4 linked regions of the Saccharomyces cerevisiae S288C genome follow. The protein of the gene in region 1 interacts with the protein of each later gene in a biochemical or structural test. Each region holds a gene or a part of one and is shown on either strand. Other genes may lie near its edges.

The links.
Region 2: the proteins of UBR1 (region 1) and CUP9 form a complex in vitro, tested with the Saccharomyces cerevisiae proteins (5 studies listed by BioGRID, with this or other methods).
Region 3: of the proteins of UBR1 (region 1) and MGT1, one has a biochemical effect on the other in vitro, tested with the Saccharomyces cerevisiae proteins (3 studies listed by BioGRID, with this or other methods).
Region 4: the proteins of UBR1 (region 1) and RAD6 form a complex in vitro, tested with the Saccharomyces cerevisiae proteins (10 studies listed by BioGRID, with this or other methods).

What each region holds. Positions count from the first base shown.
Region 1 is NC_001139.9:857,348-869,133, reverse strand, and holds UBR1 (E3 ubiquitin-protein ligase UBR1), read left to right. Parts: upstream 1-3,380; coding exon 3,381-9,233; downstream 9,234-11,786. Other genes in the region: transcription factor IIF subunit TFG1, read right to left, coding at 1-1,360; tyrosine--tRNA ligase TYS1, read left to right, coding at 1,614-2,798; QCR9 (ubiquinol--cytochrome-c reductase subunit 9), read left to right, coding at 9,658-9,660, 9,874-10,071; protein translocase subunit TIM13, read right to left, coding at 10,530-10,847. UniProt on the Saccharomyces cerevisiae protein: Ubiquitin ligase protein which is a component of the N-end rule pathway. Recognizes and binds to proteins bearing specific N-terminal residues that are destabilizing according to the N-end rule, leading to their ubiquitination and subsequent degradation.
Region 2 is NC_001148.4:211,023-218,145, forward strand, and holds CUP9 (Cup9p), read right to left. Parts: upstream 2,941-7,123; coding exon 2,020-2,940; downstream 1-2,019. Other genes in the region: nuclear cap-binding protein subunit CBC2, read left to right, coding at 1,136-1,762; TRE1 (Tre1p), read right to left, coding at 4,990-7,123. UniProt on the Saccharomyces cerevisiae protein: Probable DNA-binding protein which plays a role in protecting yeast cells against copper toxicity. May regulate the expression of important copper homeostatic genes.
Region 3 is NC_001136.10:96,557-103,248, forward strand, and holds MGT1 (methylated-DNA--protein-cysteine methyltransferase), read right to left. Parts: upstream 4,512-6,692; coding exon 3,945-4,511; downstream 1-3,944. Other genes in the region: ACK1 (Ack1p), read right to left, coding at 1-1,397; mitochondrial 54S ribosomal protein uL10m MRPL11, read left to right, coding at 1,919-2,668; TRM8 (tRNA (guanine46-N7)-methyltransferase), read left to right, coding at 3,005-3,865; YDL199C (uncharacterized protein), read right to left, coding at 4,734-6,692. UniProt on the Saccharomyces cerevisiae protein: Involved in the cellular defense against the biological effects of O6-methylguanine (O6-MeG) and O4-methylthymine (O4-MeT) in DNA. Repairs the methylated nucleobase in DNA by stoichiometrically transferring the methyl group to a cysteine residue in the enzyme.
Region 4 is NC_001139.9:389,721-396,501, forward strand, and holds RAD6 (E2 ubiquitin-conjugating protein RAD6), read left to right. Parts: upstream 1-4,265; coding exon 4,266-4,784; downstream 4,785-6,781. Other genes in the region: YBP2 (Ybp2p), read left to right, coding at 345-2,270; protein kinase PKP2, read left to right, coding at 2,503-3,978; GEP7 (Gep7p), read right to left, coding at 5,246-6,109; SDS23 (Sds23p), read right to left, coding at 6,315-6,781. UniProt on the Saccharomyces cerevisiae protein: E2 ubiquitin-conjugating enzyme that accepts ubiquitin from the ubiquitin-activating enzyme E1 and transfers it to a E3 ubiquitin-protein ligase.

The sequences.
Region 1 (11,786 bases):
TAGCTTGTTGATCAGCGACGGCTTTAAGCTTTCTTCTTGTTCTGTCATATCTAGTTGTAGTTGTACCTATATTATCCAAATGCTTCATCAACCAACGTGGCACTTCACCACTTTTTTTGTCCATTCTTTTTTCTGCTTCGTCAATGGTCAAAGTAGCATATTTATTTCTTGCGGTAAACTTATAAACCTTATCAGCAGGAATCATGGTAAAACTTCCATCATCTTCTACACTTAACAAGACATAAGAATCTGAGTTACCTGCTTCATAAGAACCCACCCATGTATTGTACCCATCAAAATCTTCCATAACCCATGGATAAAATTCCTCAAATCTCAGCTTTTTGGCGTTCTCATCAAGAACTTTTAATTGACGAGTTTTCCTTCTCAAATTTCCTCGTTTGGCCCTACCGCCTCCATCTGGTGCCACATCTGCTAGTGGATCCATAGTTCCTTCTTCAAATTCCGGTTCGTTAGTCACTTCTTTTCCGTCGTACTTGACCATTCCAACTTTAGTAGGGTCTTCAGCTGGGCCTGCATCCTCTAGTTTTGTCACTAACGGCCTTCCGTTAGCTAGATTCGCTGTAGATGCATTGCCATCCAAACCGTTAGCTGCACTAGTTGAACCATTTGACAGTCCATTACTTTCAACGGCGGATACAGTAGTAGGACTAGCAGGAGGGACAGAAGAGCCAGTTACAGTAGGAATGGAGGAGTTCACACCGTTGGCCGTGTTGTCTTTAGTAACTGAATCAACAGTAGGTGTCTGAGACCCATCTTTAACAGTATTATTGAGCGAGACCGTTCCTGATTTATTCATACCACCCGAGTTAGGAGTACTTCTTTCTTGCTCTGCTTTTTTTTTATACTCAGAAATTTCTTTTTGCCTTTGAACAATTTCTGCTCTTGTTAGCTGAAACTGCAAGTTTCTCGTATCCTTCCTATGCAGTCTTACGGGAAGATGGAAGTCTGTTACAGGGTTTATCTTTTTTTTACTCTGAAACTTCAAAAGATGTGTCCTCATGTTTTCTAAATCCTCCTTTGGAATAGCTCTTAAGGGAAATTCATTATATTCATTAGGATCTTCGTCCTTTACTTTAACATTGCTCCTGCCAGCATCGGCCTCGACACCGATTTGCAAAAGCATTTTCTCTCTCTCTTCAGCATACTCAGGATCATCCTTTTTGACAAGAGATCCCCTGCTGTTGTCTCCATTTGGTACGCCTGGGGAACTAGAATTGCTGCCGTTTTGACCCATTCTCATCCTCAGGAAATTTCTTCTCATTCTGTCTCTTTTAATGAAGGGAGAGGCATTCGTCGGACCTCCCCCGTTTCTACTGCCTGGTGGATTGCGTCTGGACATCCTTGCGCTTACTCGAATAGGCCTCCCTAGCTATTCTTCAACCTTTCGAACCATCCATACTTCTTACTATCATAATTTTTATTTTATCATGGAGGCGAGAAGGTCCTTATTCGAGCATCACTAAGAACGGAACTCGAACATTTACAAAGTAGAAAAATTTTATGAAAATTAATTGTTCTTTCTTCAGAATACAAATTAGTCATTGTCAAAAAGAGATTAGCATCCATAACCGCATACTCTAATTGACGATAACATGTCCTCTGCTGCCACGGTTGACCCTAATGAGGCGTTCGGTCTCATTACCAAGAACTTGCAAGAAGTCTTGAACCCACAAATCATCAAAGATGTTCTCGAAGTACAAAAGAGACATTTGAAATTATACTGGGGTACCGCGCCCACTGGAAGACCTCATTGTGGTTATTTTGTTCCTATGACCAAGCTTGCTGATTTCTTGAAAGCAGGTTGTGAAGTGACTGTTCTTTTAGCAGACTTGCACGCCTTTTTGGACAACATGAAGGCGCCATTGGAAGTGGTGAACTATAGGGCCAAATACTATGAATTGACCATCAAAGCTATCTTGAGAAGCATCAATGTTCCAATTGAAAAGCTAAAATTTGTTGTTGGCTCTTCTTACCAGCTAACTCCAGACTATACCATGGATATCTTTAGATTATCCAACATTGTTTCACAAAACGATGCTAAAAGGGCAGGCGCTGATGTTGTCAAGCAAGTCGCCAATCCATTATTGAGTGGGCTTATCTATCCTTTAATGCAAGCGTTGGACGAACAATTCTTAGATGTTGATTGCCAATTTGGTGGTGTCGACCAGAGAAAAATTTTTGTCTTAGCGGAAGAAAATTTACCAAGTTTGGGCTACAAGAAAAGAGCACATTTAATGAACCCTATGGTTCCAGGTTTGGCTCAAGGTGGTAAAATGTCTGCCTCTGATCCGAATTCAAAAATCGACCTTTTGGAAGAACCAAAGCAAGTTAAGAAAAAGATCAATAGTGCATTTTGTAGCCCCGGTAACGTCGAAGAGAATGGTTTACTGTCATTTGTCCAATATGTCATTGCACCAATCCAAGAATTGAAGTTTGGTACAAATCACTTCGAATTCTTCATTGATAGACCAGAAAAGTTCGGTGGTCCAATTACCTACAAATCCTTCGAAGAAATGAAATTGGCTTTTAAAGAAGAAAAATTGTCCCCACCTGATCTAAAAATTGGTGTTGCTGACGCTATCAACGAGCTATTGGAGCCAATCAGACAAGAATTTGCCAACAACAAGGAATTTCAAGAGGCCTCCGAAAAGGGTTATCCAGTTGCCACACCACAAAAGTCGAAAAAGGCTAAGAAACCAAAGAATAAGGGTACTAAGTACCCAGGCGCTACTAAGACCAACGAGATTGCCACGAAACTAGAGGAAACCAAATTGTAAGCATAGCTTAATCCGTTTTCACGATTCATAATATAATAAATAAGAAAAGATATATCATATAAACGTTATAAAATTAATAACCGGGTAAGTGTAGAAAAGTGATGCGACGGTTTATTTTCTCTTCCTCTTGCGATTGAATTTAACTTGCAGATAGTGACCATAAGGCAACTACCCAGTGGCAAACAGTTTTGATAACGCCCAGTACATCAACGAGCGAGTATAAAGACTTTGGTACATTTTAAAAAGGAAACATATATTGTTTTCATTGCTAGACCCTTTTAGTCTCACCTCAATAAAACTGCTTTATTCCTCATTGGGCTTTTTATTCTTTAATTTTGCATACTTATAGCGTGAAACTGGGCATTTAACAAAAGCAAACTATTTTAATAGTAGCATCCTGCTTTCTTTGCCCCTCCTTCTTATTGCGATACATTATTAAGTTTTTTTACCACCTTTCTTCCTTTTTCTTCGCATCTTCGGACAAAGGCAGTTGAAGTTTACTGTATCCTATTAGTTGACTATTTTCTCTCACTGAAGTCCCTAATCTTTACAGGTCACACAAATTACATAGAACATTCCAATATGTCCGTTGCTGATGATGATTTAGGATCTTTACAAGGTCACATTAGGAGAACACTGAGGTCTATTCATAACCTCCCCTATTTTAGGTATACGAGAGGTCCTACTGAAAGGGCTGACATGAGCAGAGCCCTTAAAGAGTTCATTTACAGATATCTATACTTTGTCATTTCTAACAGCGGAGAGAACTTACCTACTTTATTCAATGCTCATCCAAAACAAAAATTATCTAACCCAGAGCTTACTGTTTTTCCTGACAGTTTAGAAGATGCTGTGGATATTGATAAGATAACATCTCAACAAACTATTCCGTTTTATAAGATAGATGAATCCAGAATAGGAGACGTCCATAAACATACCGGAAGAAATTGTGGGAGGAAATTCAAAATAGGGGAACCCTTGTATAGGTGTCATGAGTGTGGTTGCGATGATACTTGTGTGCTTTGTATTCATTGTTTTAATCCAAAAGATCATGTGAATCATCATGTTTGTACCGATATATGTACTGAATTCACTAGTGGAATTTGTGACTGTGGAGATGAAGAAGCTTGGAATTCTCCACTTCATTGCAAAGCTGAAGAACAAGAAAACGATATATCGGAAGATCCCGCCACAAATGCCGACATAAAGGAAGAAGATGTATGGAATGATTCAGTGAATATAGCATTAGTGGAGTTGGTTCTTGCAGAAGTGTTTGACTATTTTATCGATGTTTTTAACCAGAATATCGAACCTCTACCCACAATACAGAAAGATATCACTATCAAATTAAGAGAGATGACACAACAGGGAAAAATGTATGAAAGAGCGCAGTTTTTAAACGATTTAAAATATGAAAACGATTATATGTTTGACGGAACAACAACAGCAAAGACGAGCCCCTCTAATAGCCCTGAGGCATCTCCATCGCTTGCGAAAATCGATCCCGAAAATTACACGGTAATAATATATAACGATGAATATCATAACTATTCGCAGGCTACGACTGCCTTGAGACAGGGGGTTCCAGATAACGTACACATTGATCTATTAACATCCAGGATTGACGGAGAAGGTCGAGCAATGTTGAAATGTTCACAAGATTTATCATCTGTCTTAGGTGGTTTTTTTGCTGTTCAAACGAATGGATTAAGTGCCACTTTAACATCGTGGTCAGAATATCTTCATCAAGAAACATGCAAGTATATCATCCTTTGGATTACACACTGTTTAAACATACCAAACTCCTCCTTCCAAACCACTTTTAGGAACATGATGGGTAAAACCCTGTGTTCAGAATACTTAAATGCAACAGAATGTCGTGATATGACACCGGTGGTGGAGAAATATTTCAGCAACAAGTTCGATAAGAATGATCCCTACAGATACATCGATTTATCTATCCTTGCAGATGGCAATCAAATTCCTTTGGGTCATCACAAAATTCTACCCGAATCAAGCACCCATTCACTTTCACCATTGATAAATGATGTAGAAACTCCAACATCAAGAACATATTCTAATACAAGATTACAACATATTCTTTATTTTGATAACAGATATTGGAAAAGACTGAGAAAAGATATTCAGAATGTGATCATTCCAACGTTGGCCTCTTCAAATTTATACAAGCCCATTTTCTGTCAACAGGTAGTCGAAATATTCAACCACATCACAAGATCTGTGGCATATATGGATAGAGAACCTCAGCTAACAGCTATAAGAGAGTGTGTCGTACAGTTATTTACATGCCCTACGAATGCCAAAAATATTTTCGAAAACCAAAGTTTTTTGGATATTGTGTGGTCAATTATAGACATTTTTAAGGAGTTTTGTAAGGTGGAAGGTGGTGTATTGATCTGGCAGAGAGTTCAAAAAAGCAATTTAACAAAGAGTTACAGTATATCATTCAAGCAAGGGTTGTATACAGTTGAAACTTTATTGAGTAAGGTACATGATCCTAATATTCCATTGAGACCTAAGGAAATAATATCTCTATTAACTCTTTGCAAGCTCTTCAATGGAGCGTGGAAGATAAAGCGTAAAGAAGGTGAACATGTTCTTCACGAAGATCAAAATTTCATCTCCTATTTAGAATATACCACCTCCATTTACAGTATTATTCAAACAGCGGAAAAAGTTAGCGAAAAATCAAAAGATTCCATTGATTCAAAGCTTTTTTTAAATGCAATAAGAATTATCAGTTCATTTCTAGGCAATAGATCACTAACATACAAGTTAATATATGATTCTCATGAAGTCATTAAGTTTAGCGTAAGCCACGAAAGAGTTGCATTTATGAATCCTTTACAAACAATGCTTTCATTCCTTATCGAAAAAGTGTCTTTAAAGGATGCATACGAAGCGTTAGAAGACTGTTCAGATTTTCTGAAAATATCGGATTTCTCTTTGAGATCAGTTGTATTGTGCTCTCAAATTGACGTCGGGTTTTGGGTAAGAAATGGTATGTCTGTGTTACATCAAGCATCGTATTATAAAAACAATCCCGAATTAGGTTCCTATTCCAGAGATATACATTTGAATCAGTTAGCTATCCTTTGGGAACGTGATGACATTCCGAGAATAATATACAATATTCTTGATAGATGGGAATTACTAGACTGGTTTACAGGTGAAGTTGACTATCAACACACTGTCTATGAGGATAAAATTTCATTCATCATTCAACAATTCATTGCCTTTATTTATCAAATATTGACCGAAAGACAATATTTTAAAACTTTCTCTTCTCTAAAGGATAGAAGAATGGATCAAATCAAAAATTCAATCATTTATAACCTTTACATGAAACCCCTTTCGTATTCAAAGCTACTAAGATCAGTTCCTGACTACCTAACTGAAGATACTACCGAGTTTGACGAAGCACTTGAAGAAGTCTCTGTTTTCGTTGAGCCTAAGGGCTTGGCCGACAATGGTGTTTTTAAATTAAAAGCAAGCTTGTATGCAAAGGTTGATCCGTTAAAGTTGCTGAATTTGGAAAACGAATTCGAAAGTAGTGCAACTATTATTAAATCACATTTGGCTAAGGATAAGGATGAAATAGCAAAAGTTGTACTAATACCCCAAGTCTCAATAAAACAGTTAGATAAAGACGCTCTCAATCTGGGTGCTTTTACAAGGAATACGGTATTTGCCAAAGTGGTCTATAAACTACTCCAGGTATGTCTGGATATGGAGGATAGCACTTTCCTGAATGAGCTACTACATTTAGTTCATGGTATATTCAGGGATGATGAATTGATAAATGGTAAGGACTCTATACCAGAAGCTTATTTGTCAAAGCCTATATGTAATTTACTCTTGAGCATAGCCAATGCTAAATCAGACGTATTTTCCGAGAGTATTGTCCGTAAAGCCGACTATTTGTTAGAGAAGATGATAATGAAAAAACCAAATGAACTTTTTGAGTCATTAATTGCCAGTTTTGGCAACCAATACGTTAATGATTATAAGGATAAGAAACTACGCCAAGGAGTTAACTTACAAGAGACAGAGAAGGAACGAAAAAGAAGATTGGCCAAGAAACATCAAGCAAGGCTTCTAGCCAAGTTTAACAATCAACAAACGAAATTCATGAAAGAACATGAGTCTGAATTTGATGAGCAGGATAACGATGTTGACATGGTCGGTGAAAAAGTATATGAATCGGAGGATTTTACCTGCGCACTATGTCAAGATTCCAGTTCGACCGATTTTTTTGTGATACCTGCGTACCATGATCATTCCCCGATATTTAGACCTGGTAATATTTTTAACCCAAATGAATTTATGCCCATGTGGGATGGTTTCTACAACGATGATGAAAAACAAGCTTATATTGACGATGATGTTTTAGAGGCTTTGAAGGAAAACGGTAGTTGTGGATCTAGGAAAGTATTTGTATCCTGTAATCATCACATTCATCATAACTGCTTCAAGAGGTACGTTCAAAAAAAGAGATTTTCATCAAACGCGTTTATATGTCCTTTATGCCAAACATTTTCGAATTGTACTTTACCTCTTTGTCAAACCTCAAAGGCAAATACTGGTTTGTCGCTAGATATGTTTTTGGAATCAGAACTTTCTTTGGATACATTGTCAAGGCTCTTCAAACCTTTTACTGAGGAAAATTATCGTACAATAAACTCTATATTTTCGTTGATGATATCTCAGTGTCAAGGTTTTGATAAAGCGGTAAGAAAGCGGGCCAACTTTTCGCATAAGGACGTTTCTTTAATATTAAGTGTGCACTGGGCAAATACCATTTCAATGTTAGAAATTGCTTCTAGGTTAGAAAAGCCATACAGTATTTCATTTTTCAGAAGCAGGGAACAGAAATACAAAACTTTAAAAAATATATTAGTCTGCATTATGCTGTTCACCTTTGTCATAGGCAAGCCAAGTATGGAGTTTGAACCGTACCCGCAGCAGCCCGATACTGTTTGGAACCAAAATCAACTCTTCCAATATATTGTTCGAAGCGCTTTATTTTCTCCAGTTTCACTTCGTCAGACTGTTACAGAGGCGTTAACAACGTTCTCTAGACAGTTTCTAAGAGATTTTCTTCAGGGTCTTTCTGATGCAGAACAGGTTACCAAATTGTATGCTAAAGCGTCCAAAATTGGGGATGTTCTTAAAGTAAGTGAGCAGATGCTCTTCGCCCTAAGGACCATATCTGATGTACGAATGGAGGGATTGGACTCCGAAAGTATTATTTATGATCTAGCTTATACCTTCCTGTTGAAGAGTCTTCTTCCTACGATAAGAAGGTGCTTAGTCTTTATCAAAGTGCTACACGAATTAGTGAAAGATTCTGAAAATGAAACGCTGGTCATCAACGGTCATGAGGTTGAAGAAGAACTGGAATTCGAAGATACCGCCGAGTTTGTCAATAAGGCATTGAAAATGATTACTGAAAAAGAATCCTTAGTCGATCTTTTGACAACGCAGGAGTCCATTGTATCGCATCCATATTTGGAGAACATCCCATATGAATATTGTGGGATTATAAAACTGATAGATTTATCAAAATATTTGAATACTTACGTTACCCAATCTAAGGAAATCAAGCTACGTGAAGAGCGTTCTCAGCATATGAAGAATGCGGATAATCGATTAGATTTCAAAATATGTTTGACATGTGGTGTCAAAGTGCATTTAAGAGCGGACCGCCATGAAATGACCAAGCATTTGAATAAAAATTGTTTTAAACCATTTGGCGCCTTCCTGATGCCCAATTCAAGTGAAGTTTGTCTCCATTTGACACAGCCTCCTTCTAATATTTTTATATCTGCACCATATCTAAATTCGCATGGTGAAGTTGGTAGAAATGCCATGAGAAGAGGTGATTTAACCACCTTGAATTTGAAAAGATATGAGCACTTAAACAGATTATGGATTAACAATGAAATTCCAGGTTATATTAGTAGAGTAATGGGTGACGAATTTCGAGTGACTATACTTTCCAATGGTTTCTTGTTTGCATTTAATAGAGAACCAAGGCCAAGAAGAATACCTCCAACAGATGAAGATGATGAAGATATGGAAGAGGGAGAAGACGGGTTTTTTACGGAGGGAAATGACGAAATGGATGTTGATGATGAAACTGGACAGGCCGCCAACTTATTTGGGGTTGGCGCAGAAGGTATTGCTGGTGGCGGAGTACGTGATTTTTTCCAATTCTTCGAAAACTTTAGGAACACTCTACAACCGCAGGGAAATGGCGATGATGATGCACCTCAGAATCCCCCACCAATATTGCAGTTCTTAGGACCTCAATTTGATGGAGCTACTATCATAAGAAATACAAATCCAAGAAACCTCGATGAGGATGACTCTGATGATAATGATGACTCTGATGAGCGAGAGATTTGGTAGATTCAAGCCCTCTACTATGTTTTATAGTTGACATATTTGTATATAAAAACTTATACATTATTAAACATTTGCGCGTCGATTGACTTTTATTTATTATTAACAAAGAAGTAATACCAACCTAATTACAAATACTTCGAAGTGACTATCATAAGTTTCCTTATCTAGCGAAGGCAACTTTTGAACTCCCCAGTTGTTAATATGTATCATTATACACGACCCAATCAAACGCGGGGAAGTCAATGCCGAAAGAATTCTAGGACCTAAAAGCTGCTCAATCCTTGGGCCTTTCCCTAATGACATCCCCTCTCAAACTTTAGCTTAGCAGTTGTATTTAATGTCCTGTCACGGATAGTCAATAATCGTTGAAGGTTGATTTTCATATCCTTCGCAATTTCGTAAAGCAACAATAGCAATACGGACTAAAATGGTATGTTGGTGTGTGTGTGTGCTGCTTCACATTTCAGGCTAAAAATGTTATCCGTGGAATCTTCCTTAGCCAAGTATCATGGGCTTTGGAAATTAGTTTCCCACCGATGAGCGCAACGACTTAGCGAAGCTTATGAAATTGGTGACAGCAGCTCTATGAATATGTTCCATGCGTTTCCATTCAGGTTACTAACAATGCATAAATTATGAGTAGTCTTTTTCATCACTATATAAAACCTTTTTCAAACGAAACGCTGTTTTTGTTGGTACTATCTTTGCAGGTGCCTTTGTTTTCCAAACTGTATTTGATACTGCTATTACTTCATGGTACGAGAATCACAACAAAGGAAAATTATGGAAAGATGTCAAGGCTCGAATAGCTGCAGGCGATGGAGACGACGATGATGAGTAAACGCTGATTATGTCACACATATACGTGCAAACGCTCTCTCTCTCTCTCAAGCTATATAAGTGGCACTCGTCTTATTTATTATTTTTTTATTTTGGCTGGTTGTTCATGTTCAACCCAACCTCATAAAGGCACTCAACTTCATATTTTGACACAAATCTATGTCTCGCCAAAGCGCATTCAAATTTCAGAATGGAAATAGACACGAACGAGCCTGTCTGTCAGATGTTCACAAAATCCTTATTATAATTTTATATTCTACTAAAGGAAAAAGAGAATTAGGAAAAAGAATAACTCATTTTATGTATATACATATATTTTGTACATATCTATACCAAGCAAGTATAGTGCAATACTGTTCTTCGACGTTATTAAACGTAATAGCATTTTCTTGGTATCCTTTGAATCTTATATACAAGTACGAGTACATACTGCGCAGTAAATTGATCCTGATGGTGTGTTTAGATTTCGCCAGAAGCGGAGGCGTTCTGGATTCTGGAGATGTAAGCCTTTGATATGACATTCCAACTTCTCATATATTTAGCCAAACACTGGTCAATGCACGCATCGTTTCTGGTAGCGTATGGCGAAGTTAAGCATTTTTCAAAGCAGTTCTCAGAAATTTTGTTCACTAATTCAGTCGCATTAGCCACAGCCAGTTCTTGAGCAATTTGGTTTTTCAGCTCCTTGGCTATAGGGTTTGGGGTTGTCTTTGCAGTAGTGGCTGCTTCCTTTTGTTGTGATGGTGCACCGCCGCCAAAGATAGATGATAGACCCATTTTCTTGATTAAATAAGCTCAAACTGTTGTTGGAGAGAAAAGATTGATTGGTTTGAACTGACAGATATCCTACTTGAATCCTCTTTTTGTCGATTTTATAAATCTTAGGACCTAGGATTTTTTTACTCTTCGGCAACGCCAGGAAAACTAAGATACACCGGAAACAAGAGGAAGGAGATCAAGAATTAGCGTTGGCTAGTAATGTGACTAAAGGGGAAAGACATTGCTCTTTATTCGCTTATATTTTATTTGTTGTATTGATATGATCTCTTTCTGAATCTGTAGCGACCTGTCAAATCGTCAAGGGTATGGTTTAATGAGGAAGTGAAACCATAGCGCTAGCGCCAGTTCCAGGTTTGATACATAGCAAATCTATCATATGTACTCATAAATGCCATTTCAGAACTCATTTAGCAGTTTTGTTTTAGCTTGAACGTTATCAGAATTCTTGCGGGTAATACACCGGTGCAAAGTCCATTATCGACGGGAGAGATAACAGATGCAGGCTCCAAGAAAAGTGGTCATGGCTTTTATCACCAGGACAAACTAGCAAGGACAAACATTTTATTCGGATGATTGGATTTAACGGCTGGGCGAGTGGGTGATACCGCGGTGTTACCATCCTCTCGGTTACAACGTCACGTCTTTTTCTGTTTAACCCTTTTGTACTAACAAGGAATAAATTATATTCAATGAATTATGAACAGTCAAATGCGTATATATTGGCGCTCCACCTTTATTGTATATCAGATGAGGTAACATTACTTGTACCGCGCTCGCTTTCAACAAATAAGTGGTTGTTTGGCCGAGCGGTCTAAGGCGCCTGATTCAAGAAATATCTTGACCGCAGTTAACTGTGGGAATACTCAGGTATCGTAAGATGCAAGAGTTCGAATCTCTTAGCAACCAATAATTTTTTTTTCAATAATTAAGTACCAA
Region 2 (7,123 bases), on another chromosome or scaffold:
TTGAAATGCCTGACAATAATCATACAATTGCATGAATAATTGCGAACAGATGGCAGCAAAGGATGAACTAATCATAATTATACATTGCCGCTGTAGGTTTCCTCCCATAAAAATCCAAATTTCCAAGAAAAAGTTCTTGTGTCTTCATACACTTAATATTGTTATCCTTCTTCAAGACCGGACTATATAAAGAAAAAATTTTGTAATGCTATTATATTTCAACTTCAAATTATTTTCTACTAGTAGACATAATGGAACTTCGCTCTCAGATAATCTATGGCGATAGATGGACAATTGACAATCTTCTGAAAGAATTTATATAATAAGATGTGACCATGACCTAAACCTGCTCACGCTCATGAAAGGATACAGGTAATTTGGCGAAACATTCCCAAGCTTCGCTGATAGACCTATCCCAGAAAGTGTCTGTTTAAAACTACAAGTATTTGCAGTTTTCGTTATCCAGTTTCGTTCAAGAGCATTAATGCACAAGCCACTTATATTATATAAATTTAAACTTTGGGAAAATATCATACACCTATTGTACCAGTAAATGTTGGAATAAAAATCAACTATCATCTACTAACTAGTATTTACGTTACTAGTATATTATCATATACGGTGTTAGAAGATGACACAAATGATGAGAAATAGTCATCTAAATTAGTGGAAGCTGAAACGCAAGGATTGATAATGTAATAGGATCAATGAATATTAACATATAAAATGATGATAATAATATTTATAGAATTGTGTAGAATTGCAGATTCCCTTTCATGGATTCCTAAATCCTTGAGGAGAACTTCTAGTATATCTATATACCTAATATTATAGCCTTAATCACAATGGAATCCCAACAATTACATCAAAATCCACATTGTCTACAGTAAAAGTATACCACTAATAGATTTGTAATTGGTGTATGAAGTAGTGTATGGTATAAACGTTAATAAGTGCTTATCAAAGTATTACCCGCTTTAACAGTTTTTGTGTTTTTTTCAAGAAAAATATTATATGTATGAATATAGAACATGAGTTTATATGGAGAAAGTGTCTCGACAGCTTTTAAAGTCCCGAAAGGACTAATATCGAATAAAAGTTGCATCCATTAATATACCAATAAATAAAGGGAAAGATGTCCCTGGAAGAATTTGACGAAGTTAAATATGATCATTCAACTAAACGCCTAGATACACCATCAAGGTACCTGCTGCGCAAGGCTAGAAGAAACCCTAACGGGCTACAAGAACTGCGTGAGTCGATGAAGTCATCCACAATTTATGTAGGAAATCTTTCCTTTTATACATCAGAAGAACAAATTTACGAATTATTCAGTAAATGTGGCACAATAAAAAGAATAATTATGGGTTTGGACCGTTTTAAGTTCACGCCATGTGGCTTCTGTTTTATTATATATAGTTGTCCAGATGAAGCATTGAATGCCTTAAAATATTTGTCCGATACAAAGTTAGACGAAAAGACAATTACCATTGATCTAGATCCTGGTTTTGAAGATGGAAGACAGTTTGGTCGTGGTAAGAGCGGTGGTCAAGTCAGCGATGAATTGAGGTTCGATTTTGATGCATCCAGAGGTGGCTTCGCCATTCCATTTGCAGAGCGTGTCGGCGTACCACATTCCAGATTTGATAACAGTAGCTCACAATCTAATACGAATAATTATATCCCTCCTCCTGATGCAATGGGTACTTTCAGACCAGGTTTCGATGAAGAAAGAGAAGATGATAACTACGTACCTCAGTAGAATCAATCAATTTATATCTGAGAAAGATTCTACACACAGATATATATATATATATATATATTATTGTATATATACATACCTACATTATTTTTAAAGGCTTGCATGATGCTGTTATGTAAAAAAAAAAAAAAAAAATCAGTGTAACATAATAGACGTAACACGTTCAATGACATGATAATACTATATATAGTAACGATAAAATGTAAATGGTAATAGATATAATTATATGAATATTTAAGTAATGCATTGATAAGTGATCAATTCATATCAGGGTTGGATAGCTTTTTCAATTCTTCCAGCCTATCAATTAGTTTTTTACGGCGTGTAACGGGGGCATGAGCAAATCTCTTGGATAATTCATAATCCGTGGAGCAGGTTGACGTAGCATCGTACATAGTATTATTTGTGGCAGATAATGTGTTATGATATGCTGAGACGTTTTGAACTCGTTCCACTGGGGTATTATTCGCGTTGTCATTAGGAATTGAGTTTACCAGGGTATAGTAATCACTAAATATTTTGCGTCTTCTCACATTTATGAACCAATTAGAAAGTTGAATCTTGGTTAGCCCAGTTTTGATTAACAACTCCCTCTTTTCTTGTTGAGTTGGGTAGGGGTTATTCAGGTGGTTCAGCAACCAAGTATTCAGTATCTGCACTGTTTCCTTTGGCAGGTTAGACCTCCTGCCCGAATTTTGCTTCCTCCTTGATTTAGATTCTACAAAATCCGAAAATGGCCTGTTGTATTGTGCCCCCGCATCCTTTTCCTTATTGATTATTTCATATATTGGGGCGGATTTGTAGCAGGGCTTTGCATCATCGGACGCCGATTTTGACTTCTTTGAACTGCCATATTGAGATTGTGTATCCATAGCACTGCTACTCGTCTTGGACGTTTCAACTGTAGAAGCAGTAGGAGTAGCAGTAGTACTAGTACCGCCAGAATTAATTGCGGGATACGCAATCGAATGATGCTGTGGAAGTAACACAGGCGCAGGATAGTTTTGTTCCTCGGTACTAGACCGAAGGTTCCCATGCGAGTATTCTATGTTCGAAAATGCCAACTCGGGCATACTCCGTTTTTCTATGGAGTTAAATAGAACTTGGATAGGGGGTAGACTGACTTGATTGTCAACATTCTTACTGTTCCTGTTTTGTATTTCGCAGTTATAATTCATCTTCGAATGTAACTATTCTCGAAGGTTGTTAGCATAAAAGTAGGGGCTCGGCAAGTAGCGATCAGTAGCACTGGATAGGCGTGGTATCGCTTGAAAACAAGGGTGGGAAGATCAACTAAAAAATTGTATTAGTATATATCTTGACCAATTTAACATAATCTTACCAATTAACAGAAACAGGAGGCATTAAGAGACAAGAAAACGCCGGGCGCGACGAAATCAGTCATAGAAAATTAATCATTAATATATACACGCTGTAAGAAAACAAAAGGACAAAAATTAATTACCAAAAGAAAAAAACAAACTACAGCTTGATGTACATGAATAAATTAAGGTTCAACAAAAGAGAAAAGCTGAGAGACGTAAGATGGCAGAAATGACCCGTTCCCACAGAAAGAAATCTGAATCCGAAGAAGGAAGTAATACGCGCGTGAGCGGATAAGGTTTCTTATCTAGCCAATCACAAAAATCAACAGTAGTAATTCTCGTGGGATTCTTTTGTGTCTCTTAAAATTGCCCTTTACGTACAGTCTTCGTCCATTATCAGGACGATTTGACAGAAAATGAGCGAGATCAGAAATATACCGCTACCGATCATGAGTGCTCAGAAAACCCCGTGGATAACCCAACGGTCCGAAAGTGACAGTTTTTTCTTTTGCCGCTTTACTTTTTTTGCGTCTTAAAGGGCTGTGGCTCCTCTGCGCCTGCGCCAGAGTAGCGGTAGGGTTCTTACTTCGGGCAACGCCGACTCTGGGTGCATTCGCCAGTGTGAGGAAGCACGCTGCTTGTGCTTGTTGGAAGTGTGGACTAGGTCAAGCCCGCCGGACACTAGGAAACACGCACAAAATTCTCAGGCACTAAATAGGCCAGAAGCAAAAAGCCGTCGGTAGTGCTCCTTTTCTCTGTTGCCGTTAACGGTCAGGTCTGTTAAGACACATAACGAAAAGCATATGTATAATAGGCACCGACATTTGTGCGGCATATTCTGTGCTTAGTTTGCAGTACAAGACGAGCTTCGGAGGCATACTACTTTAATCATATTTGCTCACTTTTAAGTTGCTCACTTTCTAATACGTGCATTCCTTTACAAGCTTACTAACACATTGGCTTGGCACTTAAAACACTAATGAAACGTGTTTAAGGGGCCCGACAATATTGCTATTATGTCGCTCTCAACAGCTTGTTTGCGAATTTTAAATTTGATAGCTCCCTCTTTCTCCTCCTCTACCGTTCGACATGACTAAAAGGCGTTGGCACGATTTTCTTTGATGCTAATGTAATCAAGTCAAGTATGGGTTGCTTTGACGATCCAGATGCAGAAGTCAAAGTTACGAGTCAAAACCTACGAGACTAGACATATCTCTGCAGATGAAAAGGCCTGTTCTATAAAAAAAAAATCACTGTTAAAGTTCAGACAGAAGCTTATTTCAAGGAAAGCACTGTGATTGATTTATTCACTATCGAGTTTCTACAGGTGTTGAAGTTCATATATTTGCACGTGCTCGTAGCTCTTTTCTTCCTTTTTGAGACATAAAAATATGGAATATCTTGGCACCCGTTACAAGCCGTCTCTAAAAATATACATGGCGTACATAATAATCTCCAGCTGATTCAAATATCCCGCGCTTTTCCCGTGGTAAATACTGTGTGTCCTATTAGGCTTTCTCTTGGCATTTCACTTCTTAACCTCTAAGGTATTCAAGGGGCGGAGGTGTAATAAAAACAAGAAAAAAAAAAAAAAGAGGAAATTTGTGGCAATCTTCCTAATATAACTATGTTGAAATGTGTGTACTAACACCTTATACTATCTATATCCTTTGTCTAAACAGCTCTGCCGATAAAAAAATTCCCCGCGGAGATGTCCATACTGACTAATAAAATTGTCCCGCACAGGCAAAAAGCAACTTTAAATGCATGGGCTCCTAATCTTAGAATTAAACGTATTTAGTCTTCCTAGGCAAGAAATCTACAAGTCATAGGAGTATATGTTGTGTATACTATAGTTGATTGCCTGCATAAATCGATGTGTAATTTTCTTTCAACCGATAACTAAAATTCGTTCGTGTTTATTCCATGAAGGTTTTTATTCTCAAGAAAATAGCGTGCTGTATTTTGTAAAATTGTGCCGAGTGTGTTAGCTTGAACCTGCACAGAGCTCCAGTCCTTGATTGCAATAGTGTCCCTGATTTCAGGGAACGTCCATGAACGAAGTGGGTCACCTTTGTCGACCCAGAGTTTTGGCCCGAAGATAACGTTCTTGTAAAAGGTTCTATCCATTAACCCTTCCTCCAAACATTGGGTAACGCCTATTAGGGAAAGTAGGTAGTTCCATGACCAACGATTAATGGCAATGATAGTGGGTTCTATATATGTACCGGCTCCATACATAAGCTCTGTCCATTCGCTTTTCCATTTTTCGAACTGCAGTTTAGTGTTTTCCCACAATGTTGTGCCCAAAAAGACTTCGTCAAAGTTTACCGTATCAGGACATTCTTTTTGGAGGTCTTTTAACGTAGTTGAAAGGAAATCTACGTAGTTCGATATGCTGAATGGGATGAATGGATCGTCAATGAGCTCGAGTGATTTTTCGACAAGATATAGCATTATCTCAGAAAGTACCTCTCCCTTCTTTTTGTCTCTTAGTTTATCTTTGATGAAATCGAATTTGTCTTCTACTGTGTAGATCGGATGTTCTCTATTCATGACTCCTGGAGATGAAATGATCGCAACTGGAATCCCTTGCGCTAGATACGGCGTCCAGTCGCCGAACTGGTGAACATTATCCACTTTAACGTTAAATTTACGGCTTGTCATGTTTTTTTGAAAAAGATCTACTAGTAGCGGATGACATTGTATCTCTAAATTGTTACTATCATCCCATATACCGATTTGGCCGACGTCGATAATGGTGTATATTTCACTCTTCAATGCCTCTGTTCTCTTTTCCATCAGCTCCGTGGCTCCCGCTTCATTAAATTCAGAGCCCCCAAAGGAAATGAAATATATATTTCTTAGAGGCTTCCAGTCAAATTTGTAAACCATTTCTTGATATAATTGGATCAGAGACAGCAAAACGACGGTTCCAAAAGAAGGATACATAGTGCCATAACTAGCAGAGTTCCTCGGTGCAGCAATAACAATTGCCCTGCCCGCTTGTTCCGATCCTTCAATTTTACCAACTATATCGTGAACCGGGTGGCGTTCCCTAATTGCTGTTTGCACTAGTAGGTCAAGTCGACAATCGTTAAGCGACCCACTGAATAAATTATTAGAAAACTTTACGCCAGTGTCTGATAATATAGCTAGTATTTTATCTCCTTGATTGGCAGATATCGGTATGGATGGAATTTTGGGTAGGCACTTGGCTTCCGTAGCATCGATAGGATCTCTTATTGATCCTTCCCATTCAGGCGTAAGTGCATCACCAGTACCATACTGCGGCAACGCAACTGACTTCATTTGTATCACGTCTTTGTTGTCTTGATAAGGCTCAGAAATAAAGATAATTGCTTTCGCACCATATTCTTGAGCAGTCAACATTTGTTGGAAAACATAATCTCCGTAATGCACTAGTAAAATAAAGTCACCGTTTAAAAGCCCTTGATCTTGCATAGAAGCCATATCGTCCAACGATGCTTTATTAGCATAAATCACCGGTATGTTGTTCAATTGACCATTATGGCTCATTGGGTTAAAGTTCTCCTCATTTAAGGGAATATCAAACCCTTCTGTATCATCCTTTGAATATACACGAAGTGAGACATTTCCTGGGTAATTCGAATACGCCATGAACTCCTCTTCCCCAGCTAGCCTTATACCATTTTTGTCGAACGACTCTTTAATATAATGTCTAATAGCGGCATCACCACTTGTTCCTGACATGTGGGGCATACTACTAATATACTCTAAATCTCTTTCTATCTTTGAAAGGTCTATCGATTTCCGAGCATACTGTAAAAGGAGATCATGGTCCGAGAATGATCCATTTGAACCTCGAGCTTTTCCATTCGGTAACCTATCACTCGCAATAATCAACGCTGCAATGATAGACATCATCATGATGTAAAATATTCTCCTCATTACCATAACATTACCTATTTTACTTAAGAACAAATCGAATTTCTCAGAGGCCAGGGAAATCATTTGTGCTAGCGGATCCACTACATTTTTCTTTACTGGAATC
Region 3 (6,692 bases), on another chromosome or scaffold:
TGGATTTCTGGCGGCAAAACACTGAATTCATATATTTTACCTAACTCATATAATGTTTGTGGAGAGTCACCCTTTTGGGCAGCTTTATCAAACCATTTAATAGCTAGCAATACATCAGTCTTTTGCATGTTCAGACCGTATAAATGGCTCATCCCTAATTTATACATACACGCAGAATTTGAACAAACTTCTGCGCCATGCTGGTAGTATTGGAAGGCCTTTTTTATGCATTGTTCTTTGGTTGGTGATGGATCCAAAGAAGAGGTGCCCCTTTGGTATTCAAAGCATACACCTGCACGGTAGCATGCATCTGAATTGTTCAATTTCGCAGCTTTACAATAATATTCCAGCGCCTTTTCATCATTTTTAATAACGATGTTTTTGTTCTTTATAGGTAAATAGGGTTGGTGTGAATACAGCGTCCCCATTAAATACATGGCAGGTGGCCATTTTAAAGTTATCAATTTTGTGAGCACCTTGAATGAATGTTCCAAAATGACTTTCTGGTTTTTGAGCATTTCCTCAGGCTTTAAGCTTCTTTTGAGCTTCTCCGCGTTTATGTTATATTGCGATATGAAATCCTCATTAAAGGCATATGTAAGTAATGTTTCACACCATTGCATTTGTATCTCGGGGGTGAATTTTGAAGAGTCAGTAATTGTCTTCTTGTACACTTGATAGAAAGCCAATGCCTCTGGTGAATAGGAAGACAGTTTGTCCTCACCACCTGAGGACCCATTATCGTCTGTCTTCGCGCTCCCAGTGGGTGGTTGGTTGATTTTTTGTGGTGGAACAGGATTATTATTCAAAGGTCGTATTGGAGCTTTTTCCTCGGTTCTGTAAACTTTTTCCTGCAGTATCCTAGATTCAGATTCCTCATAGGGTGGTGGCGCTGAGTTGTCCCTTACAGACTCTGATATTCGATTTCCACTGCTTATTGATGCATCTTGTACAGCTGGTGAACCCAAACTCTCTTTTGTAGAACTAAAATTGAAAGGAAGTTCATACCTACTACCAGTACTGTTGGTGCCATTATTGGCATATCCTATTTCACCTGTTGGCTTGGAATTAAAAATGTCCATGCCGTTATTACTATTTATGGTTACTGGAGTGCCTAATTGACCACCATCAGCATTCCCGTCTGTGAAATTCAGCGCACTCAAAGGCAGCGATAATGATGAGGAAGATGAAGGGGATGTAAAAGGAATAGCTGGTGTGAGTTCAACGATAGAGTCATCCACTGGATAGGGTGCAGGCACTATATTTTGAGCTGGCAAACCATGCCTATCCGAATTGGCATTTCCCAATTTATGCGAGGACTCCCGCGCCCTTGCTGGTGGAAACATGTTAATGTGTTTGTCATAGAGGTTAGGTTGCGGTTGGCCCTGATTAACCATTGCCTACTGTATTAAAACAAAGTATTAAAACGTGGTGGTACACTCTGTACAAAAGAATAGAAGGAAATGAAAAGAAAACGGAGTTAAAATCTACTTCATAAAAAGAGACGCTTCCAAATCCAGTCTCTACCACGTTCTTGTATATAATTTGAGCAACTCAAATTAAATTACCGGGATATCTGCTTATTCTACAAGCCATAGCATCCAGTGCTAAGGTTCATCTCAAGCCATCTTCAATACACTTGATAATTAGTCGTCAATTTTAAAATTAGGTTTCGTTCTTGAAGGCACTTAACCTAAGCTTTTTACTATATGACCTATTAAACAAGTCTTTTTCATAGTGTAACCTAACGTTTATACACTAATAACCCTAGGGCTTAGTAGAGATTCATACAGAAAAAAACGTAGAGTTATAGCAGTAAACTGAGAAAAGAAAGAAGGTTAGTACAATTGAAGAGTAAGGAAAACAAAAGCTTTAGACCTTATTGGAAGTGCTTGGGCGCGGAGTGTGATTATAAATAATGTTGCAGCTAAGGTTTATGCCTGGATGGGTCCCCAGAAATGGTTTTTTTGGTTTGAAGGAGACAATTGGTACAGTACATAAGAGATTTTATGCTCTGGCTTCTGAACAACCCTCAAGAAAGACAGTAAAGCCGCTGGACTCGAGGAAGACGTTTCTCATCGATACATACAAGCATTTAATGGAGAACAGTTCTATGATTTTTTTTGTCCATTACAATAATCTTTCCAAAACAGAAGATCACCATTTCAGATTCAAGATTAAACAGACAGGAGGGAAACTCACAAAAGTAAGAAACAACCTGTTCGAAGTCTACTTGAGAAATTCGCATCTGCCCGACCCATGTGGATTCGTGAAGCGTAAAGAGCAAAACTGGAAACATCCACTCTTGCCACTACTGAAGGGTCCTACGGCCACAATTACATACGAAGACACCAACCCTCAACAAGTAGCCAAGCTATTGAAGGTTCTGCAGTCAGCACAAGACAAGCTGATGGTGATTGGTGCAAAAGTAGAAAACGAAGTTTTGAATGTGGAAAAAATAAACACTTTTAAGACTCTCCCCACAAAGCCGGAAATGCAGTCGCAGTTAGTCAGCGTTTTGCAAATGCTAAGTGGGTTGGGTTTGGTTCGTACGTTGGAAAACAGTTCAAATGCATTGTATTTAACACTAAAATCTCACAATGACAACCAAAAACCTAAAGAGGATGTGGAGTCAACTACAGATGCAGAATCGAAGGGATCAAAGTAAAAAGAAAATGCCCGTAATTCGACAAGTTTTATAAAGGTTTTACTATTCAATCATGTACATACATCATCAAAAAATAAAAAGACAATGAAGCAATAACGGTAAATATACTTTAGTCTATGTATTGACGTCAAAATTACCTTTCTTTTACCTTTCTTACCTTTTTACATATCTCAGCGACCGTTGAAAAAAAAAAAAAATGAAAAATTTTGGTGATGACTTCAGCAAAAAATTTCAGGATATTTCTGACATTTCACTTTATTAAAGCGCCACAAAAGCTGGATTAGTATAGATTCAGCAGTTCCCATAGGATAAAATTTTCAAGCGTTTATTGTTAAGATGAAAGCCAAGCCACTAAGCCAAGATCCAGGCTCCAAGCGTTACGCATACCGTATAAATAAGGAAGAAAATCGTAAGGAGTTGAAGCATGTAAAGATCAATGAAAGTTCTTTGGTGCAAGAAGGCCAAAAGATCGACTTGCCAAAGAAGAGATATTATCGTCAAAGGGCGCATTCCAACCCATTTTCAGATCACCAGTTAGAGTACCCAGTATCTCCCCAGGATATGGATTGGTCCAAATTGTACCCTTACTACAAAAACGCGGAAAATGGACAAATGACAAAGAAGGTGACGATTGCTGATATTGGCTGTGGATTCGGTGGGTTGATGATAGATTTATCACCAGCCTTCCCTGAAGATCTTATCTTAGGGATGGAAATTCGTGTGCAGGTTACAAATTACGTGGAGGATAGAATTATTGCCTTAAGGAACAATACAGCTTCAAAACATGGATTTCAAAACATTAATGTCTTGAGAGGTAACGCTATGAAATTCTTGCCCAACTTTTTTGAAAAGGGCCAGCTTTCTAAAATGTTTTTTTGTTTCCCCGATCCTCATTTCAAACAAAGAAAGCATAAGGCAAGAATTATCACTAACACCTTGCTGAGTGAGTACGCATATGTTTTGAAAGAGGGCGGTGTCGTGTACACAATTACAGACGTCAAAGACCTGCATGAGTGGATGGTAAAACATTTAGAAGAGCATCCTTTATTTGAACGGTTGAGCAAAGAATGGGAAGAAAACGATGAATGTGTGAAAATAATGAGAAATGCCACAGAAGAAGGTAAAAAAGTGGAAAGAAAGAAGGGTGACAAGTTCGTCGCTTGTTTCACAAGATTACCAACGCCAGCCATATTGTAACATAGATGTATAACTAGAACAATTTACCACATATACATAACTATTTCTTATGTTTATTTTCCTAAAATCCTTTATCCAACTACAATCTACTAAGGCTTAAGCTATTTTCCTTTTCATTATTTAATAACTGTTCTTTCAGTTTACAGCTCCATTTATATCCGGTTAATTTTCTATTGCTACCAACGATTCTATGGCAAGGTACTAACAATGCCAGGTTATTTGAGCCGCAAGCTCTTCCGACAGATCTTGCGGCAGTTGGCTTCCCTATTCTCTTTGCAATATCACCATATGTTACGACGTGGCCGTGTTCCACGTTTAAAAGCTCATTCCAAACTTTACGTTGAAAATCTGTTCCAAACAGGAACTCAAAGGGAATAGCGCCCGATGGTAATGGCATTTTGTTTTCTAAACATATTGTATAATTTTCGATTGATTTCTTATATGTTTCTGCCTCTTTTAGTTCCTGTAAATCGTACATTGTATCCTGTTTCTCATGTTTCTTCAAGAAGCCTTCCACCTTTCCCAATAAAAAAAGCTTATCATTACCTAACGAGGCAAAAACAAGGTTTTGAGTCTTTTCCCTAAACACCAAAAATGCACCAGTCACTTCAGTTTCAATGAATGTATAGTAAAGCAGTTCCTTCATCGTTGGTCCATTTAGATCAAAAATGCGACCGTTTTCAATTTTTTTTTTGTGCATATGCTATATCATTACTTGATTAATCTTCCTTGTTTCCACCGCATTTTAAATGCCCTGCCAGGCCAATAGCGCCGTGCCTTTTTTCTAATGACTATAATAAGAATATGTATGTAGGATAAAACTAAACATTTATACTTAGGATGAAGCAAATATTTTTATGAGGCCATACTAGGCAACTGCCATGTCTCCAGGCGAATTCTGGCCTCCACCTGAACTGGGTTTATTCGCAGCAATGTTGTCGCTGATATTTGGATCGGTTCTGTTATGAAAACTGAAAAATTCTCCAGTCCTTGATGGTCCTGAATCAGATGTAATGAAATAAACATTTTGTGCAGAACCGTGTGTCTGGTTCGATAAGTTTCCGTTTTTGGGTAGAATCTGCTCATTTTGAATAGATGAATAGGCTTGATTATTTTGTTTGATACTACTTCCTAGAGTGTTTATCTGATACGCGGAAAAAGATGGTGAGGAGGAGAATTCAGAACCGGTATCGTCAAAAACATCATCATGGTTACCGCTACCGTTTCCGGTAGAATCATCATCAGAATCTAACCTTTCGTCACGGGTTTCTATAGGAAAAATCTTCAGCACAAATATAATGGAAATAAAGGAAGATAAAGATGGAATAAGATAAAACTTCCAAGACAGACGGTCAATAAGTATAGGGGTTATTAAGCTGACGAACCACTTAAAAATCCAATAAAAGTTTGAGACTAGTAGTATCACTGGGGCCTGTGACAAGTGAGGTAGAAGCTCAATGGTCATAACCCATCCTATAGAATCCCAACTGATGAAGTGCGTAAAAAGAAAAACAGCAAATAGTATTGATATATACCTCGTTGTGCTCTTGGGAAACCAGTCTGTAAAAGATATGGTAAATAGCAATGCACACATCACAATCGAACCTAAGAGTACATTCGTTTTCTCTTTACGTTTCCGTAACACCAAGGGAACATATGCTAATATTACGATGCTGTAAATTAAAGCATTAAGCCCCGTTAAATAGATAGATTTTCTTTCTCCTCTCCCCATTTGTTGTAATATTAACGGTGAGTAATACAAGAAAGCATCCACTCCATTTGTTCGTGTGAGAAGTTGGAAACCTATCAACAATTTTATTATTGAAGAAAAATCCTTTAAGATATACGCATATGGATAGGAGTTTTTTTGAAGGTGTGACTTTAATAATATGTCTCGTTTCAGGACCCTAAATTTCAACTGAGTTTGGTTTTCTTCGAAATTTCCATCATCGAAAACATTCGATATTAAAACCAATGCCTCTACGTCGTTCTTTTGCTTCAACAGCCACGAAGGGGACTCTAAAATAAGATAGAACGACATTAGGTTTAGTATTATTCCAAGTGCCACATGTGTTGACAAAGGGTATCTCCATGCAAAGCCCAAATATCTGAAAGCACAATTAATCCATATTCCGAATGAATACGCAATGACACTAGAGACGCATTGAATGGAAATTAATGTCCGTTTTCTTATACAGGGAAGGGGAAACTCGAATTGATAAATTATTACCATAGAAAAGGCAAAGCCCATACCTACTCCGAGTAAGAATCTACCCAGTAGTAAACACCATTGGTTTAGAGCCAAGACCTGAACAATGGCACCCAAAGAGTATATCATTGTGCTTATTTGGAGCATTTTTTTCCTGCTACAAGGCTCCAGGATGCCAGAATAGACAAATAACGACGCCATGAACGCACCCAGATTAACAATGCTCACTATATTGCCCAGCGGAGAAGTAAGTGGGTAATGAAAATACTTCTGGAACGACAAAGTCATAACGTTACCAGATATGAGGCCTTGGTCCAACCCTGACAGCGAGGAAACTAGCACCACAAAAGATATAAACGAAGTACGCAAAACTCGACTGGAATGCCTTTTTTTCTTACTTCGTAGTTGTGAGATTTCAGCCTGTTGTAGTAATTGGCGGTATGGATCATCCATTGATAATCTAGGGGTATGTTCAGAAAGCGGCAAAACCACAGTAGCATCGCTGTCTCTATATAGAGAACCACGACGCGAGCTATGAGCTGTGATGTTGTTCTCAAATCTGAATATGTCGGGGTTCTTGTGGGGCAGTGAAGTTAGTGCGGTATCATCCTGTTTACT
Region 4 (6,781 bases), 470 kb from region 1:
TTGTTCAAGTTTCAAATTATCTTCTTTAGTAATACTTGAGTCACCAGTCCAGATTACTTAGCCTATCTTTCTTTATCGCGTTTGATTTTGGCGTTTGTTTGTAATTATTATTCTTTTTTCCTTCGTTTCGCTGTGAAACTAACTTGCGCTGAGGTCCAAAAACCTCTCATCTAAGAATAAAGGAAAATACATATTATCCTGGGTCTAAAAGGCTAAAAGAACTCACCGTCAAGAGGAAGGGCTCAGAAAGTATGGGTGAGTCAATTGAAACAATTTGTAAAAGCCTTGTCAGGGCTTTCCAAGAGGAGAAGGATGATTTTGTCTCACTTGTAACAATCATTGATATGTACAACGAGCAGGTGAACTCTGGAAAGTCTATAAAAGAAAAGGAACGTTATTTGGATGCCCTATTGAAAATACTTAAGGATAATCCAGTTACCTTAAAGGAAATTGGCTGGGATCTGCCAAAGGGTTTATTGCAGTTTTTCTCACGCAAAAACATCAATGTCAATATACATCTAGTTTTTAGTCCCCTTGTTTCTAGTGTGATGGAATGCTTCAATGAGCTAGCCATCAATGGAAATCCGAAAGAATGCTTGTTGACCGCTTGCGAATTGGTGTCAACACTCCATATAGTCTTAACTGAAACTGGCGACTCCGATGAAGAGAATGAAGATTTAAATGACTCCAATAGAAATGATGCGTCAAACATTACTGATGAGCTGTCAGTTATCACTCCGGAGATTGGGCACTATATGGCCAAAAATACAGTAGAATTCATTCCAAATTTGAAAATTTACGTTCTCTTTGAATTTATGAGTTTATTGTTGAAACGTGTGGACACTTTATATCCATCTAAATTTCTAGCCATGGTAACTTCTGCAATTATTAAGTATGTAACAACCAACGTTCAGGCTATGGATGATCCACACTTTATTTTGCGCATAGTGTACAATTTTTGTACTAATTACTCTCCAGCTCAACCATCTGCTAGTCTGACCGATGGTATTAGTACAAACGATCTTGAAAAAATTCATGATGATGAATCTGCCTTACAGAAAAAACTACTGGCTAATCTGAGCGTATTCGTGATTAGCAACTGCCTAAAAAATCATCCAGGTAATATTGACAAGATATATTTCAAAACATTGATGCATAAAAAAACAGATGAAAATGAAATCGATGCTTCAGTTTTACAGATATGCCACCAATACTACGAGTATGTCACATCATTGGATGTCCACATGAAAGAACTTTTAGAAAAGTGCCTGGTAGAATCAAGAAGCATCTATAACTCTCTTCTCATGAACCCGGCCGCTTCCACGCCCGAATTCAAAGAAGAAATTAACCAACTAGTATATGAGGTATCTTACGCATATCAAATCAAGAAACTAGCTGACGAAAAGAACTTAGAGCTGGACCAATATGGAGTTGTGATTCTATCTGCAATACATTATTCTAAAAATGGTACTCACTTATTGCCGCAAATTGATATCCAAAGCGCAATTTACCTCTATCTACGGTGTACGACAGCTTCTTTATTTTCAGAAATATACGAAAATAAGTTTTTGGAAAGTTCAGTACGCTACTGGCTATGGGTATCCACAACCGAGACTTCCACAGAGAAAATAAAGTGTGCCTTACAAGAACTTCCAGGGCACATTACCACGGCCTTTTTGCAGATGTTACTGATGAAAACTTGCAATGAATCTAATAACGACACTAAGTTGACCGAAATTACTCTTCTGAGGAGGTTACTCTATCTCATGCCCGAAAGCACATCTTTTACGTTCATCTTTGAAACTCTACTACATTGTCCATATATAACTGCAAAGATTGCTGTTCTTGACATTCTAAGAGATATGATGATTAGATCTCCTGAGGCTGCTAATCGTGACGAAACTGTCGGTTTAATCGAACAACAGAATCCTGGGAATACCGCTAATAGTGTACCGATAATGCCAACTCTACCTCCAAGACCTTACATCACTATTAATGAAGATCGCATGGCTTCCATTCATAGCATTGCTTTAATATGTTTTTCTGCCGCCAAGCAAAAGAAAAGAACGCAAGGTGATTTACTCTTGGTACTAACATATATGAAATTTTTTGTTAGTTTAAGGAACAAATGGGATTTGGGTCTGTTAACACTCATCAATAAAGAAATCTCCGAATCATTTCAAGGAGAAGGTGAGCCTGAATTAGCATTCATCAACATTTCCAATAATACTCTGGGAGAATATATAGAAGAGATGAACATACGCTCGTAAACTACATAGTAAATTAGTTGCTCTTCTCTTTTGTTCCCGAGTAAATCGAATTATTCTATTAAAGGGAAACACTATGTTTTGAGTCATCCAAACTTTCATTTTTTTCAGATTTCATCGCCCGATCGTCAAGGAATAAAAAGGGAAGGGATGGGATACTTGCATTGGAACCCAGAAAGTACGTAAAAGATGAAGATCGTGAGAGATTGGTCAATGGATAAATAGTTCTGTAATTATGTCTAAGTATCAAATTAATTGCATAAGATACCGGCACTTTCTCAGGACATCTAATATCTCGCAGATCCCTGATTTCACGAAATACTGCATTGGTCCCGTAAATGAAGAATTGGCACCTTACATCATGGAAACCATGAAGGCATACCCTTCAAATTCCGAATATATCAATCCGCAGCATTACTATCATAATAGAACGGTATTAGTAGAAAATTACTTAAAACGAAGTCCAAATCCAGTATCATTAACGCAGTTAGCGCAATATTATGACGATTCTACCAAGCTGACCAGAACCAAGATCATCAATTCCGGGAAATTTGTAAAAGAAGAACTGGTAATTAGGATCGCGCATAAATTAAATCAATTGCAACAACTTCCATTTAATGTTGTGAACAACTTCCATTTTGTTCAAGTTTATGAGTCATATTACAATATTTTTGAAAGCTTTAGAAAATATCCGACTATAAGAACTTTAGAGGACGCTTCTCAATTTGCAGATTTTATCAAAAATATGCTAGAAGGCTTCAATACTCTAAACTTACCACATTTGATAATGGGGGCTTTAGAATGTACAATTTTGGATCTTTATCCTCGTGAAAAAATGGACCAACTACTATCTGATCTGTTAAGAGCTCGAATATCAAGAAGATTGATTGTAGAGGAACACGTCAGTATCACAGCCAACTACACTAGTGGTAAGGAGGAAAATACCTTGGTATTGGGTGATATTTTTCAAGAATGTAGCGCTAAAAAATATTTATTGGAAGCCAGTGAGGAATCTCAAAAATTTATCCAAGATATGTACTTTAAAGACATTCCCATGCCAGAATTTATTATCGAAGGTGACACTCAACTAAGCTTTTACTTTTTGCCTACACATTTGAAGTATTTGTTAGGGGAGATCCTTCGAAATACTTACGAAGCAACCATGAAACACTATATTCGTAAGGGATTAGAAAAGCCGGAACCAATCATAGTAACTGTAGTAAGTAACGATGAATCCTATTTGTTTAGAATTTCAGATAAAGCTGGGGGCGTCCTCCATGATGATGAAAATCTATGGTCATTCGGTAAATCGAAAGAAAGGGCTCAAGAATCCCTAAATAATTTTCACAAGTTACCTGGTTTACAAACAGTATCTATTTATGACGAAGTACATTCCCATACTAAATATAACTCCAAACTGAAGTCATTGCAGTCAATAACATTAAAACCGTACATGCACACGTCGCTAGAACCAATGAGTTATCCTAGCATCATAAATGGGCACATCAAATATGAAACTCCCCTAATTGAATTGTTAAAGCGGTCTTTTAGATACAAGCTTGGGATTGGGTTAGCCATGTGTAAAGTGTATGCTGAATATTGGAACGGCGACCTTTCATTGCATTCAATGCCTGGATATGGTACCGATGTTGTATTAAAATTAGGCAACTTGATGAAGCATACGAAGAAACTACAATTAGATAAAGTGTGAGCTAACCATGCTTACACTATATACCAAGGAACAAATACATATTCGGAATATTAGTATGGTGACTACATTTCCCGGATTAGTGTATGTATATACAAAAAGGCACCTCCGGGTAGCCGGAGTAGAAAGCTGGAAAAATAAAAATGAAAGCGAATGGAATGTGTAAGAGAAAAAAAGGAAAGAACTATCAAGTTGCAGAGTTGATGACATAAATAGTAGAGTGGAAAATCAACGAAGATCGAATTCCAAAGATTATTTTTAGGCAGACAGAGACTAAAAGATAAAGCGTCATGTCCACACCAGCTAGAAGAAGGTTGATGAGAGATTTTAAACGTATGAAGGAAGATGCCCCACCGGGTGTATCTGCTTCACCATTACCTGATAACGTCATGGTATGGAACGCCATGATTATCGGGCCAGCCGATACTCCATATGAAGACGGAACTTTTAGGTTATTGTTGGAGTTTGATGAAGAATATCCCAATAAGCCACCGCATGTCAAATTTTTGAGTGAAATGTTTCATCCCAATGTCTATGCAAATGGTGAAATTTGTTTGGATATTTTGCAGAACAGATGGACTCCAACATATGATGTCGCATCCATATTGACATCCATTCAAAGTTTATTCAACGATCCAAATCCAGCTTCGCCAGCAAACGTTGAAGCTGCAACATTATTCAAAGATCATAAATCACAGTACGTCAAAAGAGTTAAGGAGACGGTAGAGAAATCTTGGGAGGATGATATGGACGATATGGACGATGATGATGATGATGATGACGACGACGACGACGACGAAGCAGACTGAGAAAAATCAAAAGAATCTTAATGATGAATGCCGAGCCGATATTATGAATTCGATTACCTTTTTGTTCAATCAAATATAGGGCTTCATCGTGAGTTTCTTTCTCTATCGATCCGTTTGCTTTCTATTCCTCCATCTTCTACTTTATACCGTAAAGAAAATTTAATAATGATAGAAACATTGCATATAAATAATATACTAAAAAGAAACACTGCTCTACCATAAATTTCTTTGGAGAAAATAACGTGAAATGAGAAATAAGGACAATTTGTTATCGGTTATAACTGCCGATACCCGTATCTTTTGTGTTTGATTCAAGGAATACTTATTTAGAGTAGAAAGAATATATTTACTTAGATAACTTAATGTATAATATATAAAAAAAATCAAAAAAACAGGAAAAAAAAAAATCATGAGTGAGTGGCACTTTTAACTGCAAGAATGAAGAGTGACCCCATTTTTTTTTATTCTGATATTACAGTACTCTTCTGTGCGGGCAGCTCCTTCGTTTTTTGTTTTGCACTTTCATCCAACCACACATATATGGAAACAAAAACGACGAATGAAATTATAGCTTTGCTGAATGGATCTATGCTCTTCCAAGTAAACCTTTTATCATCAAGATGAAACACCTTGACCACGTTTTGCACATCAGCAGGTAGTATATTTGCGTTTTTGTTATTTTGTAGGAGAAACCAATTATATTCGATGAATGGAAGTTTCAAGAATTGGGACCTAACTGACGGAGAAGAGTTTGTCAGGACAAATTGAGTTCGAGGTCCAAGAAAGCCAAATGACTTGTAGTACCACAACTGAATGAAATCTTGCTTTAGATCATTCCAGTTTCCTCGCATTTTCTCATTTATGGCAAAATCCAATAAATCTAAGTCATTACCACTTAACTTAGGAAAATTCTGAAGTAATATATTCGTATCTATCAACTGATTGTTATGTGTCGAAGACGGATTGAAGAATTTGTTCATAATGACACCAAGCTCGCCGTTGTTTAGACGCTCAGTTAATAAATGATCGCGTTTCAAACCACTTGTTTCGTCTTCATCTAGATCTGGTGCACTTGGCTGCAAGACGCTAAATATCTCGGACATGGTCTGTGAGAAGGAAATGGGGTTTTCTGTAGATGTAGTACTGCCATTTTGAGCTAACCGTATTTTCTGCTTCAAAAGCAGTGAAGCCGGTGGAATTCTTTCTAATTTTGGTTGATAAAATCTCTTTACCAAAAGATTTCCTGCGACTGCTTTAATCATGGGACCGATTCTGAAGGCTCTATGCGATTTTAATCTGAAGATTTTAACATTTGACAGTACCATCTCAATCGGACCTTTTAACTGATTTTAGCGAGAACATGTGTATATATTTCCTCTAAGAAAAGAAAGGGCCTAAAAACCTCGCCCCAGTGCATAATAAAAGTAAAAAAAAAAAAATCAAACTTTATTGGGATAAAATAAAAATCAGAAAAACCCTTATATATGTATATGTAGTTAAATGAAGCCAGTTTTTTTCGTCTGGTTTGTTTCAGCCTATATGCCCTCTTTGCTTTCTTGCCATCTGCGGATCAATTTCCTTATGATGCGTTTGTTTTCTTGCCAAAACACTTAATATGTCAGTCAATGACACAACACCTATCAATTTACCTGTTCTATACTCCTTTTCGAAATGTGCTGGAGTTGGAGATGCGGGACAATTACTTGGACTTTGAGGTGGTGGCATTGTGGCCGATGGAGACTGTGGTTGAGAAGGTGAGGGACCACTCAAATTTATATTTACATTTATTTTATTGTTTGATGTATCTGAAGATTTTAGAACAGGAGAGTTGGCCATCCTGGAAGATTGCGTGTTCGAATGGTATGACGACGCAAGCGATGGCAATGTCGTTACGGGTGGAGTACTTGGTGATGGAGATGAGGATTTTTCGGAAGATGCTGTTGGTTGATTGTCATTTGGTTGTACTATCCATAATCTGTGAGATTTGGTAGCGACCA